Linked DNA regions of Saccharomyces cerevisiae S288C. The gene in region 1 interacts genetically with each later gene. Each region holds a gene or a part of one and is shown in the gene's direction. Other genes may lie near its edges.

Region 1 (5,285 bases):
TAACACACTGACCTGTCAAAGAAACAGAAAGAAACTAAGTGAAGGTTCAGACGTTGATGTAGATGAGCTCATCAAGGATGCGATAAAGAATGGTACCGGCCTGTTGTAAGGCTAGAGGAAAACGTATTTGTCTCCATCAGCACACCTACACATACATATATAGATAGATATATACTTTAGCCATTGAGATAAGTAGAATAAAAAAACGTTGTAATATTCCGATACAGTTAGTGACATGTTCTCTACTTTTGCCAATTTTTTGCGCACAAAGTGGTGACGTACAAGTTCATCATTTCACGTGTGCAGCATAGTGTGGTATATTGTTTTTTTATATTTTATTTTTTATTTTTTTTTTTTTGCAGAAAACAGTGTTTGTATTATATGCTTTAGATATGCTAAAAAAAATGAAAAAAAATGGAACAAAATATGTGTTTTTTTATTTAACGTTAAAATTAAAGATTAAGTTATTTATTCGACGTCAGCATCAAAAGTTTGACCTTCAACTAACTCTGGAATAGCTTCATCCTTCTTTTCAGCATCAGCTGGAGCCTTGGCTTCGTGCTTTTCCATTTGGGCAGCCAATTGAGACAAGGCTTGGATGGCTTCAGGGCCCAATTGAGAGATAATACCTGGGAACAAATCTTGCAAGTTCTTTTCCTGTGGTAGACCGTAGAATACAGAAGTGTTGTGTTGAGCAGCAACTTGGACACCGACCTTGTTGAAGTGCATGACCTTACCGTCGTCCTTGAAAAAGTTGGCTTCGGCGACGTTGTCAATGGTGACAGCGTGCAACTTAGCTAATTGACTTTGCAACTTGGTGTCATCCTTGTTGGCACCGGCAGAAGAGCCTGCCTTCTTGTTAAGCTTTCTTCTAGTACCACCAACTTTGTTGTTAGCAGACAACTTTTGTAGCTTAGCTAATTTTTCTTGGTCAATTGGCATTATGAATTATGAGTCGCGTCTGGTGTGAGATGTTCTATTCTTAAACCTCCCTAGAAAGAATATTCGCTCTCTTGTGACAAAGGAGGGGTTACTACTTAACAAGCAATTGCAGCTGTTTCCACTACGAAATCTTCCAATGTCAACGAAAAAAATTCAAAAATTTTCTGCTTTTTTTTTCAACATCTGCCGTACTAAATGATTCCACAATAATCCATCATATACCATTACCCTGATTCCCATCGAAGAAAAGGCGGTGTCCCCTTACCCGTCCGCTCATGCCAAGAGATTAATTCATAACCGCTCTTCCTTGGATCAGAAGTGAACATATGAAGTTGCAACTACTACATACTTACTACCGTAGTCCATCATCAAGGACCCAAACATTCACGACTCCAGCGCGCCACGTTCTTCGCCATACTGCTTAACATTTTGGTACGAGTGCGAATTAGGGAAGTCGATGATAAAATAGAATATGCGAAAAAGAGGAAGAGCAGCCGTGAGAAAAAAGAAAAAAAAAGGCCTAAGGTATTCTCTACTCCAAAATCGTCGAGGGAGGGCAAAAGAAATTTTTTTTGTTTAAGGGAATTGCGAAGTCAATTGATTGATGAAGTAGCTTCTCTGGAAAAATGGCGGACAGACGCTGCTCAAATAACCGTCGAAGGGGGAAAGGTTATCGGTGGAAACATATTTGTAAGTACATAATAGTGAATTTACTTCTTGTCGGCGTCCCCTAAACGTAATTGGCGGTGTGATGGTACTTCGTTATATAAAGGTGTGTAATATCCTCTTTTACCATCTATTATTTCTTCCAGCATTTCTTGCTGGATAACCTACTGTATCCAAGCTACTGGGCTTTTTTAAACATACCCATAACTTTTTTTTTTTCATTTTTCGTTGCTGTGTGCTAGTACAATTTAAGCAAAAGGAAACTGTTTTGCGTTATGTCTTCCACTGAAGCAAAGCAATACAAGGAGAAACCCTCGAAAGAGTACCTCCATGCCAGTGATGGCGATGACCCTGCAAATAATTCTGCCGCTTCTTCGTCATCTTCGTCTTCTACATCAACTTCCGCCTCGTCATCGGCTGCAGCCGTTCCACGGAAGGCCGCAGCCGCTTCTGCCGCTGATGATTCTGACTCAGATGAAGATATAGACCAATTGATTGATGAACTACAATCTAACTACGGTGAGGGTGATGAATCTGGTGAAGAAGAAGTACGTACTGATGGGGTGCACGCTGGCCAAAGGGTTGTTCCTGAAAAGGACCTTTCTACGGACCCTGCGTATGGTTTGACTTCGGATGAAGTCGCCAGGAGAAGAAAGAAATATGGGTTAAATCAAATGGCTGAGGAGAATGAATCGTTGATTGTGAAGTTTTTGATGTTCTTCGTAGGGCCTATTCAATTCGTTATGGAGGCTGCTGCTATTTTGGCTGCCGGTTTGTCTGATTGGGTTGATGTCGGTGTCATCTGTGCTTTACTGCTATTAAACGCATCTGTCGGATTTATTCAAGAATTCCAGGCAGGTTCCATCGTAGACGAGCTGAAAAAGACGTTGGCCAATACTGCAACAGTTATTAGAGATGGCCAATTGATCGAAATTCCGGCTAATGAGGTAGTTCCTGGTGAGATTTTGCAATTGGAAAGTGGCACAATTGCTCCCGCAGATGGTCGTATTGTCACTGAAGACTGTTTTTTGCAGATCGATCAATCGGCCATCACTGGTGAATCCTTAGCCGCTGAAAAGCATTACGGTGATGAGGTGTTCTCCTCATCCACTGTGAAAACCGGCGAGGCTTTTATGGTTGTTACTGCCACTGGTGACAATACCTTCGTCGGTAGGGCTGCCGCCTTAGTGGGGCAGGCTTCCGGTGTAGAGGGCCATTTCACTGAAGTATTGAATGGAATTGGTATTATCTTACTTGTTCTAGTTATCGCTACTTTGTTGTTGGTCTGGACCGCATGTTTCTATAGAACGGTCGGTATTGTAAGCATTTTGAGATATACTTTGGGTATAACCATCATTGGTGTCCCAGTCGGTTTGCCAGCAGTTGTTACCACGACCATGGCTGTCGGTGCAGCTTACTTGGCTAAGAAGCAAGCCATTGTTCAAAAGTTATCTGCTATTGAATCCCTTGCTGGTGTTGAGATTTTATGTTCTGACAAGACTGGTACTTTAACCAAAAACAAGTTATCTTTACACGAACCCTACACTGTCGAAGGCGTTTCTCCGGACGACTTGATGTTGACCGCTTGTTTAGCTGCCTCTAGAAAGAAGAAAGGTTTGGATGCTATTGATAAGGCTTTTTTGAAGTCATTGATTGAGTATCCAAAAGCTAAAGACGCCCTGACCAAGTACAAAGTTTTGGAATTCCATCCGTTCGACCCTGTCTCAAAAAAGGTTACCGCTGTTGTAGAATCCCCAGAAGGTGAAAGAATTGTTTGTGTCAAGGGAGCCCCATTGTTTGTCTTGAAGACTGTTGAAGAAGATCACCCAATTCCGGAAGATGTGCATGAAAACTACGAAAATAAGGTTGCTGAACTAGCTTCTAGAGGTTTCCGTGCTTTAGGTGTTGCTAGAAAGAGAGGGGAAGGTCACTGGGAAATCTTGGGTGTTATGCCATGTATGGACCCCCCTAGAGATGACACCGCTCAAACAATCAATGAGGCCAGAAACCTTGGTTTGAGAATCAAGATGTTAACCGGTGACGCTGTTGGTATCGCGAAAGAAACGTGTAGGCAATTAGGACTTGGTACAAACATTTATAACGCAGAAAGGTTAGGTCTGGGAGGTGGAGGTGATATGCCTGGTTCAGAGTTGGCTGATTTTGTTGAAAATGCCGATGGTTTCGCAGAAGTTTTCCCACAGCATAAATACAGAGTCGTTGAAATCTTGCAAAACAGAGGTTACTTGGTTGCTATGACTGGTGATGGTGTTAACGATGCCCCATCTTTGAAGAAGGCTGATACTGGTATTGCTGTCGAAGGTGCTACCGATGCTGCCAGATCAGCCGCTGATATTGTTTTCTTGGCCCCTGGTCTCTCTGCTATTATTGATGCCTTAAAGACTTCTAGACAGATTTTCCACAGAATGTACTCCTATGTTGTTTATCGTATTGCCCTATCCTTACATTTGGAGATTTTCCTGGGTTTATGGATTGCTATTTTAAACAACTCTTTGGATATCAATTTGATCGTTTTTATTGCTATTTTCGCAGACGTTGCCACTTTAACTATTGCTTATGACAATGCTCCTTATGCTCCTGAACCTGTGAAATGGAACCTACCAAGATTATGGGGTATGTCTATTATTTTGGGCATAGTTTTAGCTATAGGTTCTTGGATTACTTTAACCACCATGTTCTTGCCTAATGGTGGTATTATCCAAAATTTTGGTGCCATGAATGGTGTCATGTTCCTGCAGATTTCACTAACTGAAAATTGGTTAATTTTTGTCACTAGAGCTGCTGGCCCATTCTGGTCTTCCATTCCATCGTGGCAGTTAGCCGGTGCCGTTTTCGCCGTTGATATTATTGCTACCATGTTTACCTTATTTGGCTGGTGGTCTGAAAACTGGACTGATATTGTGTCAGTCGTTCGTGTCTGGATTTGGTCCATTGGTATTTTTTGTGTATTGGGAGGATTTTACTATATTATGTCCACGTCTCAAGCCTTTGATAGGTTGATGAATGGTAAGTCATTAAAGGAAAAGAAGTCTACAAGAAGTGTCGAAGATTTCATGGCTGCTATGCAAAGAGTTTCTACTCAACACGAAAAAAGCAGTTAGTAATTTTAAACATCATCCATCTGATTTTTTTTCTTATTGATCTCCTTTTTGTTATTCCTCATTTTCATTTCAATTTGTCGATACCAAGGAAGCCAAGACGTTATAAAAGAACACGGTCAACAAAAATCAAATTAATGCCTCTTCAATTGTGCTCTGTTTGATACCTTCGATATGATGTTACAGTTTTAAAGTTTACACACAAGTTTTTAGACTAAGTGGCATCATATCTGTCAATTTTATCACACACACACACACACACACACACAAACAAACATATCCACATATCAGAAGTAGGCCGATCTTTTGCTTGATTGGATGCAAATTCATATGGAAAATTTTTTTCATATTATTTCGTGTTCTTTTGACTATTTTCCTCTCCAAAAAGGAAGAATCATTCCAATAACAACACACGAATTCCCATCCAACATGGTGAAATGACTAAATATTTTTTTTTTCGAAACATTAAATCAATCTAATTCTTAATTTTTAATAAACATATAATGCACACTTATTTACATACAAGCACATTGCACGTATTATATCAGTTTCTTCTTTTAT
Region 2 (2,995 bases), on another chromosome or scaffold:
TTCAGCTTTCAATTTTTGGCCATCTGCTTTAATGTAACCATTACCTTTTGTAGTGATTAAGATACTTGGACCATCAACACCTTCAAAATGCCTTTGACCAAGTTTCTCATCAAAAGTAGTCTCCAATACAGCAAATTCTTCGATTGGAGGGTTATATAAAACTGACTTACCGTTACCAGAGGACCTGTCGAACTTTAAAGGCTGCATTTTTTGCTTTTCCACAGGATCATATGTATAGGTTAACATGGAGACCAAGTTTTTAACATCCTTGAATTTTGGAGTGAAGCCTGCTCTAACTACGTTGTCAGAAGCAGCCATACATTCCATAATATCACCGCTTATATAGGCGTGAGGATCCTTAGCTCTTAAAAAGATGGCTTCACCAGCATTCAATCTGCAGTGATTCAACAATAAACATCCACAAAACAAACCCACGTCATCAGGGAACTGTTTATTCAGTCTTTGAATTAATTCTGGTAAATCAGGTTTGTTAAAGTCTGATGGAGAATTCTTTGATCTTTCGACCAAGGAGCGAGCTTGAATCTTGATTTTGTCATCCGAAGCGTTCATGACCCTGCTGAAAACAGCTTGCAATAGCTTTTTGTTTTGCTCATCTTCTGGGGAACCTTTCTGAGCAGAAGGTTGAATGTTCTCAATAAAATTCCTGGAAGTTTCTTCACCAACAATGTTGCGTAATTCAGGAATACGTTTCAATTCATCTGCAATCTCTTGCAAAGGTTTGAACCCGCAGAAACCTTCAAAGTCAGTCACAGCGATGGCCATTTCAGGTTTGTGATTATCATCAGGATAGTTCTTAGGATCTTGAGCGTGCAATATTTTACCCAAGGCTTTGTCGGGATGTGCTTGAATAGACAAGACTTTTTCAATGGACAAAACTTTGAAAAGGAAGGGCAATTCATTTGTGGCGTGGAACTTATCAATAATGTCCTTACCTAACATGGCAGAGGGGTTCTTGGAGATGATATCTCTCAGGGATTCCTTAGACTCATGGTTGTAGGAAGGCATCTTGCTGTGGGTACCCATCCATAACTCTGCATATGGTTTATCTTGTTCAATTTGAACAGAGGGGTCAGAATGGGCAGCAAATTGAGCGACAGCTGAAGAAGAGCCGATTTTACCCCAGTCGTATTGTTGGTAGCCTACATAGAGTCGTACGCGTTAGTTAGTGTACCAAAAAAAAAAAAAAAAAATACTCAAAGTATTCAAAATATTTGACGAAAAATGGCACATACCTGCATCTAACCTGAACAGCTTGTTGGACATGTTTTAAAATTTTCTGGTCTGATGTTCTTTACGTGTTTAGTGTTGAATGATTACAAGAAACAAACATTTTATACAGAAATATACTAAGATTGCGACGTGTATATTTAAATACGTAAATCGCGGCGAAAAAGGACACGGACGCGACAAAAAATTGCTACAATAACCAAGCAGCACGAAATGGATAGTGCACCACGAGACTTGGCATGATCAAAGTGCAAAAGAAAGCAGAATAACAAATTACTCCCGCAAAGTACTAGCTATATCAGGGAACGACTTTATTGGCATCTTGTTGTAGCAAGGTTTTCATGATTCTCATCCTTGCGCTTGTCGCGCGGCACGATGCCAGTGCGGAGTTTCCGCGATATGATGTAACTGCAGCTGTTGGTGGCGAACTTTGCATAAGATCGACCTCCTACTGATGAGAAAGATAGGATGGATTATATAGAAGAGCACAAGCAACGATGAATGGGTTGGTATTAGGCGCTACAGGTTTATGCGGAGGCGGGTTTCTGAGGCACGCACAGGAGGCACCCCAGTTCTCTAAGGTATACGCGATCTTGAGAAGGGAATTGCCCTTTCCGGCCACTGATAAAGTTGTGGCCATAGTAGAAAGGGATAATTCAAAGTGGTCACAATTGATCACCAATGAAATGAATCCGCAGGTGCTATTCACCGCACTGGCAACGACAAGGGCAGCTGCAGGCGGTTTGGACAAGCAATACAAGATCGATCATGATTTAAACTTACAATTGGCCCAGGCTGCCAAGGAAAAAGGATGTGAAACGATCGTTCTCGTTTCTTCCGCTGGTGCTCATCCGGACTCCAGGTTCGGCTACATGAAGATGAAGGGCGAGATTGAACGCGATGTTATCGCTCTTGATTTTAAGCACATTATAATTTTGCGCCCAGGCCCTCTCCTTGGTGAACGGACAAATTCTAAACAAAGCGGATTTGGCGGCAATCTGACTGCTGCTTTGGGCACTCGCGTGTACCGTTCTAGATTCCAGAGGTTGCTAGGCTATCCAGTTTATGGCGATGAGGTAGGAAAAGTTGGTGTTCATTTGGCGTTGAATACTTCTGGGAAAGACAAGGTTCAGTTTGTCTCCAGCAAGGACATTCTTGACATCTCAGCTTCTCTGGAGAAGATTGCTACCTAAATCAACCAACGGCTTCTTCTCGCAGCTACAGTTGTATTTTACTGTGACGTACTTTTGCGCGCGTACGGGTTCAATGAATTACGGATTTTCAACAACTTCACACAATCATAGCTTTTTTTACTTTTTCGCCTCATTATTTTCTTTAAAGAAACGATGATAAACAGAGATTTATCGTCATGTTATTTCGTTCGTATATATCGTATTTGCGTTTTAGCTGTATAAAGTAAAATACTATATCTAACGTGGCTTTTTTTATTTCCCCGTCTGCCCTCTTATGCTCATAGAAAACACTAATGATCGGTTTGGTATCGTCATAGATGCAGGGTCTTCGGGTTCGAGAATCCATGTGTTTAAGTGGCAGGACACGGAATCGCTTCTTCATGCAACAAACCAGGACTCACAGTCCATATTACAATCAGTACCTCATATTCATCAAGAAAAAGACTGGACTTTTAAGCTGAATCCAGGCTTGTCGAGTTTTGAAAAAAAACCTCAAGATGCGTACAAATCTCACATCAAGCCGTTACTAGATTTTGCTAAGAATATTATCCCTG
Region 3 (3,195 bases), on another chromosome or scaffold:
GCATAAGTACCAGCAGATGCAATGAATTTTTTAATATGTTGGATTTCCTCTTGTTGTTTATTGTATTGTTTCATTTGATTGGTTTCCAATTCGGATCTTGTCTTGTGATAAGAATCATAGTTACCACCGTAAGCAGTTAGTTTTTGAGCTCTCATGTCAATCATATTGGTACAAACACCGTTCAAGAAATCTTGAGAGTGGGACACCAAAACTAAAGTTCTGTCAAATCTCTTCAAATATTCTTCTAACCAAACACAAGCTTCCAAATCCAGATGCGCAGTAGGATCATCCAACAATAATAGAGTTGGCTTAACGAAAAGAGCTTTTGCCAACGCAACACGCATTTTCCATCCACCAGACATATCTTTGGTTTTCTTCAAAATGGTCTTCTTGTTGAAACCTAGACCGATCAAAATGATAGCAGCTCTAGATTCAAAGGTGTCTGGATCCAAAGAGTCCATTCTTTCATATAGAGGCTCTAATAACTCGGACTCAGGACCATCTTCCAAGATAGTCTTTTCGACTAAGTCTTCTATTCTTTTCAATTCGTGTTGAGCTTCAGTGACAACGTAGTCCAAGGCCGACAATTCACTTGGTTCCGCAGGTTCGTCCAATAAATAAATATCAATATGCTCAGGAATAGGATATTCTCTAGTAGCAAGAGCCTTTAAGAATGTTGACTTACCACAACCATTTTCTCCCAGAAGACCATATCTACGGCCGTAGTTTAATTCTAAACCAGAATCTTGGATCAAAACTTTACCGTGGAACAGTAAAGAAACAGAAGATAGCTTGATATCACGGGAAGTCTCCAATGAACTCAAAACACCAGTGACAACACGATCTGAAAGACCATCCTTATCTTGTTGCAACTTCATCATCTTGATTTCTCTAGCGGCTGCATCTACCTCCGATTCTTCAGCAGCAGCCTCCTTTTTTCTACCTAGCTTTCTGATGGTTTTACCGGCAGCGGCTTTCTTAGCCTCTCTTTCAGCTTTCTTAGCATCTCTCTTGGCCTTTGACGCAGATACTGGTGGCATATTTGGTTCTGTCAAGTTACTGTTTGTAGCACTGAGGGGAAGAAAACAATTTTTGCAAGAAAAAAGTTAAGAAAGAAGAAGAAAAACTACACGGGCACTAACATGTTAAATATGATAATATTTTTTTTTATAAGAGAATCACTACCAAGTTACCTGAACTACGTCAAGGAAAAGCCATTAATTGAGATGAGGTGAACGAAGAAAAAAAAAAAGAAAAAAATTTTTATTTTTTTTTCCATCGGTCTCCCCCCTCACCTTTCTTTTTTCATTCGTTTAAAGTGAGATTAGGGTAATGCATTTCGTATTTAGTGAGTAAACGTCAAAGGTGATATAGGGGGTTTTTCTTTTTCCAGAAAAAGAAAGAAAAAAGCCGGCGGTCGCCGCCGGAGATGGTTGAGAAAAAAAGGGGGCAGCAACGTGCTTCACATACAAACCAAGTTCTTGGATCTGTACGATCGTTTCTGCGGGTTTTTCCGTATTTGCCGCAATACTGAAATGGCTCATTATTAGGAGATGTGCATATAATGTATATACATACATTTAGCATATGTAATACATTCGTACATGTATAGAAATATATGTTTATATATATATATATATATATATGTATATACGAACTCGGTTTAACGCATAGTTGGTAAAAGATTTAATGTAGATAAAAAACACATAAGTTTTATACGCACGTAATCATGACTATCGCTAAAGATTACAGAACAATTTATAGAAACCAAATCAAAAAGCAGATACGACTAAATCAGGAGCATTTGCAAAGCTTGACACATCTAGGCTCACAAATCAATTTCGAGGTGGATCCTCCCAAATTACCGGATCCGGATCCTGCTCGAAAAGTATTTTTCTTTGATATCGATAACACTTTGTACAGAAAATCTACGAAGGTACAATTGCTCATGCAACAATCATTATCAAATTTCTTTAAATACGAATTGGGGTTTGACGACGATGAGGCAGAACGCCTAATCGAATCGTATTATCAAGAATATGGATTATCCGTGAAAGGTTTAATAAAGAATAAACAAATTGATGACGTCCTACAATATAATACATTCATCGATGATTCCTTACCTTTGCAAGACTATTTAAAGCCTGATTGGAAGTTAAGGGAGCTGCTGATCAATTTAAAGAAAAAGAAGCTCGGCAAATTTGACAAACTATGGCTGTTTACAAACTCGTACAAAAATCATGCCATCAGATGTGTTAAAATATTAGGTATTGCTGATCTATTTGACGGCATAACCTATTGCCACTACGACAGACCCATCGAGGAAGAATTCATTTGCAAGCCAGATCCAAAATTCTTCGAAACAGCTAAATTGCAAAGTGGGTTGTCGAGCTTTGCAAATGCCTGGTTTATTGATGACAACGAAAGCAATGTGCGGAGCGCGTTGAGCATGGGGATGGGCCATGTTATCCATTTGATAGAGGATTACCAATATGAGTCAGAAAATATTGTTACTAAGGACCACAAAAATAAGCAACAATTTTCCATATTGAAAGATATCCTTGAGATTCCATTGATAATGGACGTTGAAGTTTACCGTCCATCCTCTATTGCCATAAAGGAAATGGAAGAGTTGGAAGAGGAAGGGGAAGCAGTCAACTGGTCAAATCAACAGATCAATGTTCAGTCATCATGACTGTTACCTGATTTTAGAAAACAAATTTAATATTCCCTTCAGGATAGAAATTTCAACATCATTTGTCGTTTCATTAGAAATATCCAAAATACAATCTTTGAAATATTCTGTTACTTGACATTTGGGACCAAAAGGAATAAATTTCGAGCCATACATCGTTAAAATAAAATATAGTAGATTTTTATAGTTTTTACAATCAAAAAATTCGTTAAACTCTTTGATTATATTTTGCTGTATAGTTTCAGTCCGACCTTGCTTTTCACTAAAGCGTCTCCTGAGCAAGGCGCTTTGTAAATGAGGGAAGATTTGTAGTAGCCTATAATGTAAAAAAAAGTCGTTCTTGTCCACAATTTCGAAATATGAATTTATGAAATGTGCCTCATTAAATAATTCCAGGACCTTAAAACACAGTCTATGGTCCGATTCCATAGCGTTAAAAACCTTTCTATCCAAGATTAAACATATGAAGGCTTTCAGAAAGAATTCTCTAACATCATCAT
Region 4 (5,105 bases), on another chromosome or scaffold:
GCCTCGCAACTTGTACTTTTCATCACTTTTCTTGTAATTTAGCAATATCCCAAGAACAATCATCGAAATGTCCCGTCCACAAGTTACTGTTCACTCTTTGACTGGTGAAGCTACTGCCAATGCCTTGCCATTGCCAGCTGTCTTCTCCGCTCCTATCCGTCCAGACATTGTCCACACTGTTTTCACCTCTGTGAACAAGAACAAGAGACAAGCTTACGCTGTTTCTGAAAAGGCTGGTCACCAAACCTCCGCTGAATCCTGGGGTACCGGTCGTGCCGTCGCTCGTATTCCAAGAGTTGGTGGTGGTGGTACCGGTAGATCCGGTCAAGGTGCCTTCGGTAACATGTGTCGTGGTGGTCGTATGTTTGCTCCAACTAAGACCTGGAGAAAGTGGAACGTTAAGGTTAACCACAACGAAAAGCGTTACGCCACTGCTTCTGCTATTGCTGCTACTGCTGTTGCCTCTTTGGTCTTGGCCAGAGGTCACAGAGTCGAAAAGATTCCAGAAATCCCATTGGTTGTCTCCACTGACTTGGAATCTATTCAAAAGACCAAGGAAGCTGTTGCTGCTTTGAAGGCTGTTGGTGCTCACTCCGACTTGTTGAAGGTCTTGAAGTCCAAGAAATTGAGAGCCGGTAAGGGTAAGTACAGAAACAGAAGATGGACTCAAAGAAGAGGTCCATTAGTTGTCTACGCTGAAGACAACGGTATCGTCAAGGCCTTGAGAAACGTTCCAGGTGTTGAAACTGCCAACGTTGCTTCTTTGAACTTGTTGCAATTGGCTCCAGGTGCTCACTTGGGTAGATTCGTTATCTGGACCGAAGCTGCTTTCACCAAGTTGGACCAAGTCTGGGGTTCCGAAACCGTTGCCTCCTCCAAGGTCGGCTACACTTTGCCATCCCATATCATCTCCACTTCTGATGTCACCAGAATTATCAACTCTTCCGAAATCCAATCTGCTATCAGACCAGCTGGCCAAGCTACTCAAAAGCGTACTCACGTTTTGAAGAAGAACCCATTGAAGAACAAGCAAGTCTTGTTGAGATTGAACCCTTACGCCAAGGTCTTTGCTGCTGAAAAGCTAGGTTCCAAGAAGGCTGAAAAGACTGGTACCAAGCCAGCTGCTGTTTTCACCGAAACTTTGAAACACGATTAAACTTATTAGTACATTAAAAATATTCTTTTATTTTTTATATACATACATAAGCCTTTAATACCTTTAAAGCGGTAACGACTGCCTCTTGAACTTAAAATTATTCTTTTTTTTGGATATTTGTTCGTTATGTTTAATGTATATATGTTGATGTTCGATCAGTTTTACGATATGCTCTTATAGGAACATTTACAGTTTTCCCCGCATTGAGTCCAGACCGAAGGTTACATACAAGATTTCTTCAGCGTTTGTTACTTCAGGAAGGCAATGGTAATCATACGTATCACATTGAGCAACCTACTGAGGGAGAAAGGAGATTTGTGCCTGGAACTACTTCGTGTAGACAAAGGAATATACCCCTTTGATACTTCTCAACCAATTGGTAGTATGCAGGTGCTGCTCCCCCACGCTAGTAATTACCCCGGTTCCGCTCAATTTTATCTTTTTGACGCGGCTACGAAACTCGGTTTCGAGCAGTCCGTTAACTTAAACTACAGTGAAAATCATTGGTTAAACAACACTCCATGCCAGTATCTGTATGTGTTTTTGCAACAAGCACGACTGGAGTAATAAAGAGTCACGCTAGCAAAATTTGTCTCTATAAGATTAAGATTCTGCTTTATAGCTTTGGAACCTTTCGTAGCTGTAGCCCGCTACGTAGAAATACATAACAATAGAATAATCTTTCAAAAATGTCACACCATGTTCCTAATTTATATGGTACACCTATTCGCGACCCTCACGAACGCAAACGCAATTCAGCGTCAATGGGCGAAGTAAATCAGTCAGTTTCTTCGAGGAATTGTGAAAGAGGAAGTGAAAAGGGCACGAAGCAAAGGAAGAAAGCCTCTCACGCTTGTGACCAATGTAGAAGGAAAAGAATCAAGTGCAGGTTTGATAAACATACCGGCGTATGTCAAGGGTGCTTAGAAGTCGGTGAAAAGTGTCAATTTATTAGAGTTCCATTGAAACGTGGTCCTGCAAAAAAAAGGGGCAGTGTAGTATCCATTGAAAAATTCAGCTCGGATAATGATCCTCTTCAATACCGACCAAGAACACATTCATACCCAATGAACTCGGGAAATAACTACTTACCATCACTCGCCAGGAATTCCTCTTTTCCTTCCATAAGCAGTCTATTTGTTCCCTCGATAACTGCTCAATCGCAACAATTTGTAAAGGTGCCGTACGATGACATCAAGCGTAGGAGCTCTCTGGCAATATTAGGCAGCGATTCATCGATATCTACCGAATTTGGGGGAAACTATCGCTTAGATGAAAACTTAAATGTCAGGCAAGAGGGGAAGGATATTGTAGCGAAAGGAATGATAACGCCCGTGGAGGAAATGGGCGCATGTTCATCTAACGTTCGTCGTCAGGGTTCACAATCTCTTCCAATTCAAGAACAGCGCGCTAGCCCGTACATTAACCCTTTTATCTCTGGGAGATCCAGGCTAAGCAGCCTTTCCTATACAAGTGAGGCTACAACTTCAGAAGGTAATACGCAAGGTAAAAACCAATGCATGCTTACTCCCAATAGTGTACGTTCCATTGAAAAGGAACGATTAAACTCGTTAACTGCGGGATTTCCGAACAAAAAATTAGGCACAGATGGTAGAAGTGACAAATGGGACAAAAATTCGACTTGGAAGCCTGTATATCGATCGTCGAATCCTTCTCATCCTAGCACTGAAAAAAATGTTTCCTTGAATCAGGAAGCCAGTGCTAAACCACTTATGCTTGGAACCTACAGACAGTTTGATGCAACCTCGTTCTACAAGGTTTTAGGCATCTACTATAACTTTTTCCATATTAATTTTCCTGTAATACCAATTAACAAAAGTAAATTTACTGACATGCTTGATCCTGAAAAGCCAAACGTGATTGATGAGATCAGACAAATTAACAATGAAATTATCCAGTGTTTTAAAACCGCGCTAGAGGTATTGGTATTTTGCAAAATAAAACAAAGAAGGTCATCGAAATCAACAAAATCATGGTCTCGTGACAGTTTATGCGATTTTCAAAAAGGTCTGTATTACATTCAGAATTTCAACAAATGTATAGCCGACTGCTTCCAAAGTTTAATAACTATAAAACCCGTATTAAAACAAAATTCCAGTGTTATTCCTTCAAGAATAAAGTTCATTTACTTTTCGACAATAATAGTGTTAAATTTTATCTTAATATTGGCCGGTGAGGAAAGCTCGCTTTTGCTAGGCCCCTCTGTTGGGGTTTTTAACGAATTTCAAGCTCATAAGTTATTTCTACCTTTTCAAAATACGTCCCCAATGCTATTATTAAATTCAAACGAGGAAAGTGGTGACGAGATACTGGATTATGCTGTGTTGTTCAAAAGGTTGTACATCCTTTTAAACATTCTGGATACGCTACAAAGCTTTCGGCTAGGTCAACCAAAATTAATTAATCTAAATTTTGGTAGCGCCATTGAAACATATTTTAGCGATAAAACAGGTCATAACCAAGTCGTCGAAAAAGCTCCCGTAGCTTTGGATAACATTCTACGAAACCTTAAACTTGGTGAATTTATAACATATTTTGTCCTTAACAGAAAATCATTGCAAGTAAATGTACCTCACCACTTGCTGTTCACAAATCAAACGGATTACGGAGAGTTCGCTGTTGAAAAAGGGGAACATGATAATATAGCTGGCAAATTTGAGACCCTTTTGAAGAAAAAGGAAATTTTAATCAGAAAATTACTAAATATTGAACAGAAAAATGACCATATTCTAGAAAATTGCTGCAATTCGGATGCTGAAATGAAAAATATCGGAGAGCTAGTCTGCTCAATGATCACTCTGGTATCAGGCATATTAGATTCAATTACTAATATGAACGCAGAAAACTCTGTTGATTTGGATTCAAAGCCCCTTCCGAACGCCTATTTTGCTCAGGACAGTGAAGAAGAATTAATGTCGCCAACACAAAGTATTACGTCAAATCTTGCCAGTGAAGAAAATACACGTTGCACAACCAAAGACTTGATGGGAACTGTTTCTATTTTCATGCTGCCAATGGTGGAAGAATGCTATAATATCATTAGTTTGATAGGACCCATACCTACCACATTAATAAGTTTATACATCCGTAATGGAAATATGGCCAAGGGAATAAATGACAGAATTATGACGTTGTCAACTGCGCTGAACGAATTGGTGCAAATAACCGCACTATTTAATACCCTAGAACCTTTTAGGAAGAATGCACATGACCGTGCTAAGCGTTACTATGTAAGTGCTACAAGTAGTACCGGATGCTACGAATCGGTAATGAAGAGCATGTATTCCGGAAAATGTGCAGCTAGTAACGCCTCAAACGTTGCGCCATCGGAGGAAGAAAACAAAAAGATATTGAAAAAGTTTGCCGACATAGGTTGGAAATTGATGGATGATTCAGAATTGGGTTGTTGCTGTTGCTTCTTTAACTAATATTCATGATAACAAGGTGAAAAATAGCATCCTAATGAAGGATAGATAAGTAGATTTTTTCTTTTAAAAACTATAGTACAAGGACATGCAAAGTCATATATCTAAACTAATTTTGGTACACGACCAACAAAAAAGGGTAACAAAGTACACATATTCGCGTCAATAATATGAACAAGTTTGTTTATTTGCTTTTCAAATTTTTTTCTTTCTCCAGCAAACAAAAGTCTTAATGCATTAAATAAGAACCTTCGTTTTTTCTGCTTCTTGAATTACCGTCGATGCCATTCGATTCGAACTTGTAAGAAATTTTGATATTTAGATCTCTGTTATTCTTCTCGTTTGGAGAGCAAACCAATTCACCTTCAATGGTGTCACCAGTTTCAGCATCTAGATCATCAGGGAAATAAAATATTGTTTGCTTCCAGTGAGTGTATGGAGCATGAGGACCAGTGGAGAACTCAACAGGTCTCTTACCCTTTGGTGCAGGGAAAACAATGTCG

What was found.
Region 2: mutations in PMA2 (region 1) and FMP52 together harm fitness more than expected from each alone (negative genetic interaction), as found in Saccharomyces cerevisiae (2 studies listed by BioGRID).
Region 3: mutations in PMA2 (region 1) and PHM8 together harm fitness more than expected from each alone (negative genetic interaction), as found in Saccharomyces cerevisiae (2 studies listed by BioGRID).
Region 4: mutations in PMA2 (region 1) and EDS1 together harm fitness more than expected from each alone (negative genetic interaction), as found in Saccharomyces cerevisiae (2 studies listed by BioGRID).

What each region holds. Positions count from the first base shown.
Region 1 is NC_001148.4:480,960-486,244, forward strand, and holds PMA2 (H(+)-exporting P2-type ATPase PMA2), read left to right. Parts: upstream 1-1,883; coding exon 1,884-4,727; downstream 4,728-5,285. Other genes in the region: MET31 (Met31p), read left to right, coding at 1-109; EGD1 (Egd1p), read right to left, coding at 469-942. UniProt on the Saccharomyces cerevisiae protein: The plasma membrane ATPase of plants and fungi is a hydrogen ion pump. The proton gradient it generates drives the active transport of nutrients by H(+)-symport. The resulting external acidification and/or internal alkinization may mediate growth responses.
Region 2 is NC_001137.3:157,835-160,829, forward strand, and holds FMP52 (Fmp52p), read left to right. Parts: upstream 1-1,745; coding exon 1,746-2,441; downstream 2,442-2,995. Other genes in the region: mannose-6-phosphate isomerase PMI40, read right to left, coding at 1-1,160, 1,254-1,284; YND1 (apyrase), read left to right, coding at 2,716-2,995.
Region 3 is NC_001137.3:224,160-227,354, forward strand, and holds PHM8 (bifunctional nucleotidase/lysophosphatidic acid phosphatase), read left to right. Parts: upstream 1-1,729; coding exon 1,730-2,695; downstream 2,696-3,195. Other genes in the region: ATP-binding cassette family ATPase ARB1, read right to left, coding at 1-1,040; Smc5-Smc6 complex subunit KRE29, read right to left, coding at 2,699-3,195. UniProt on the Saccharomyces cerevisiae protein: May be involved in phosphate metabolism.
Region 4 is NC_001134.8:300,099-305,203, forward strand, and holds EDS1 (Eds1p), read left to right. Parts: upstream 1-1,845; coding exon 1,846-4,605; downstream 4,606-5,105. Other genes in the region: 60S ribosomal protein uL4 RPL4A, read left to right, coding at 68-1,156; YBR032W (uncharacterized protein), read left to right, coding at 1,421-1,723; protein-arginine omega-N methyltransferase HMT1, read right to left, coding at 4,832-5,105.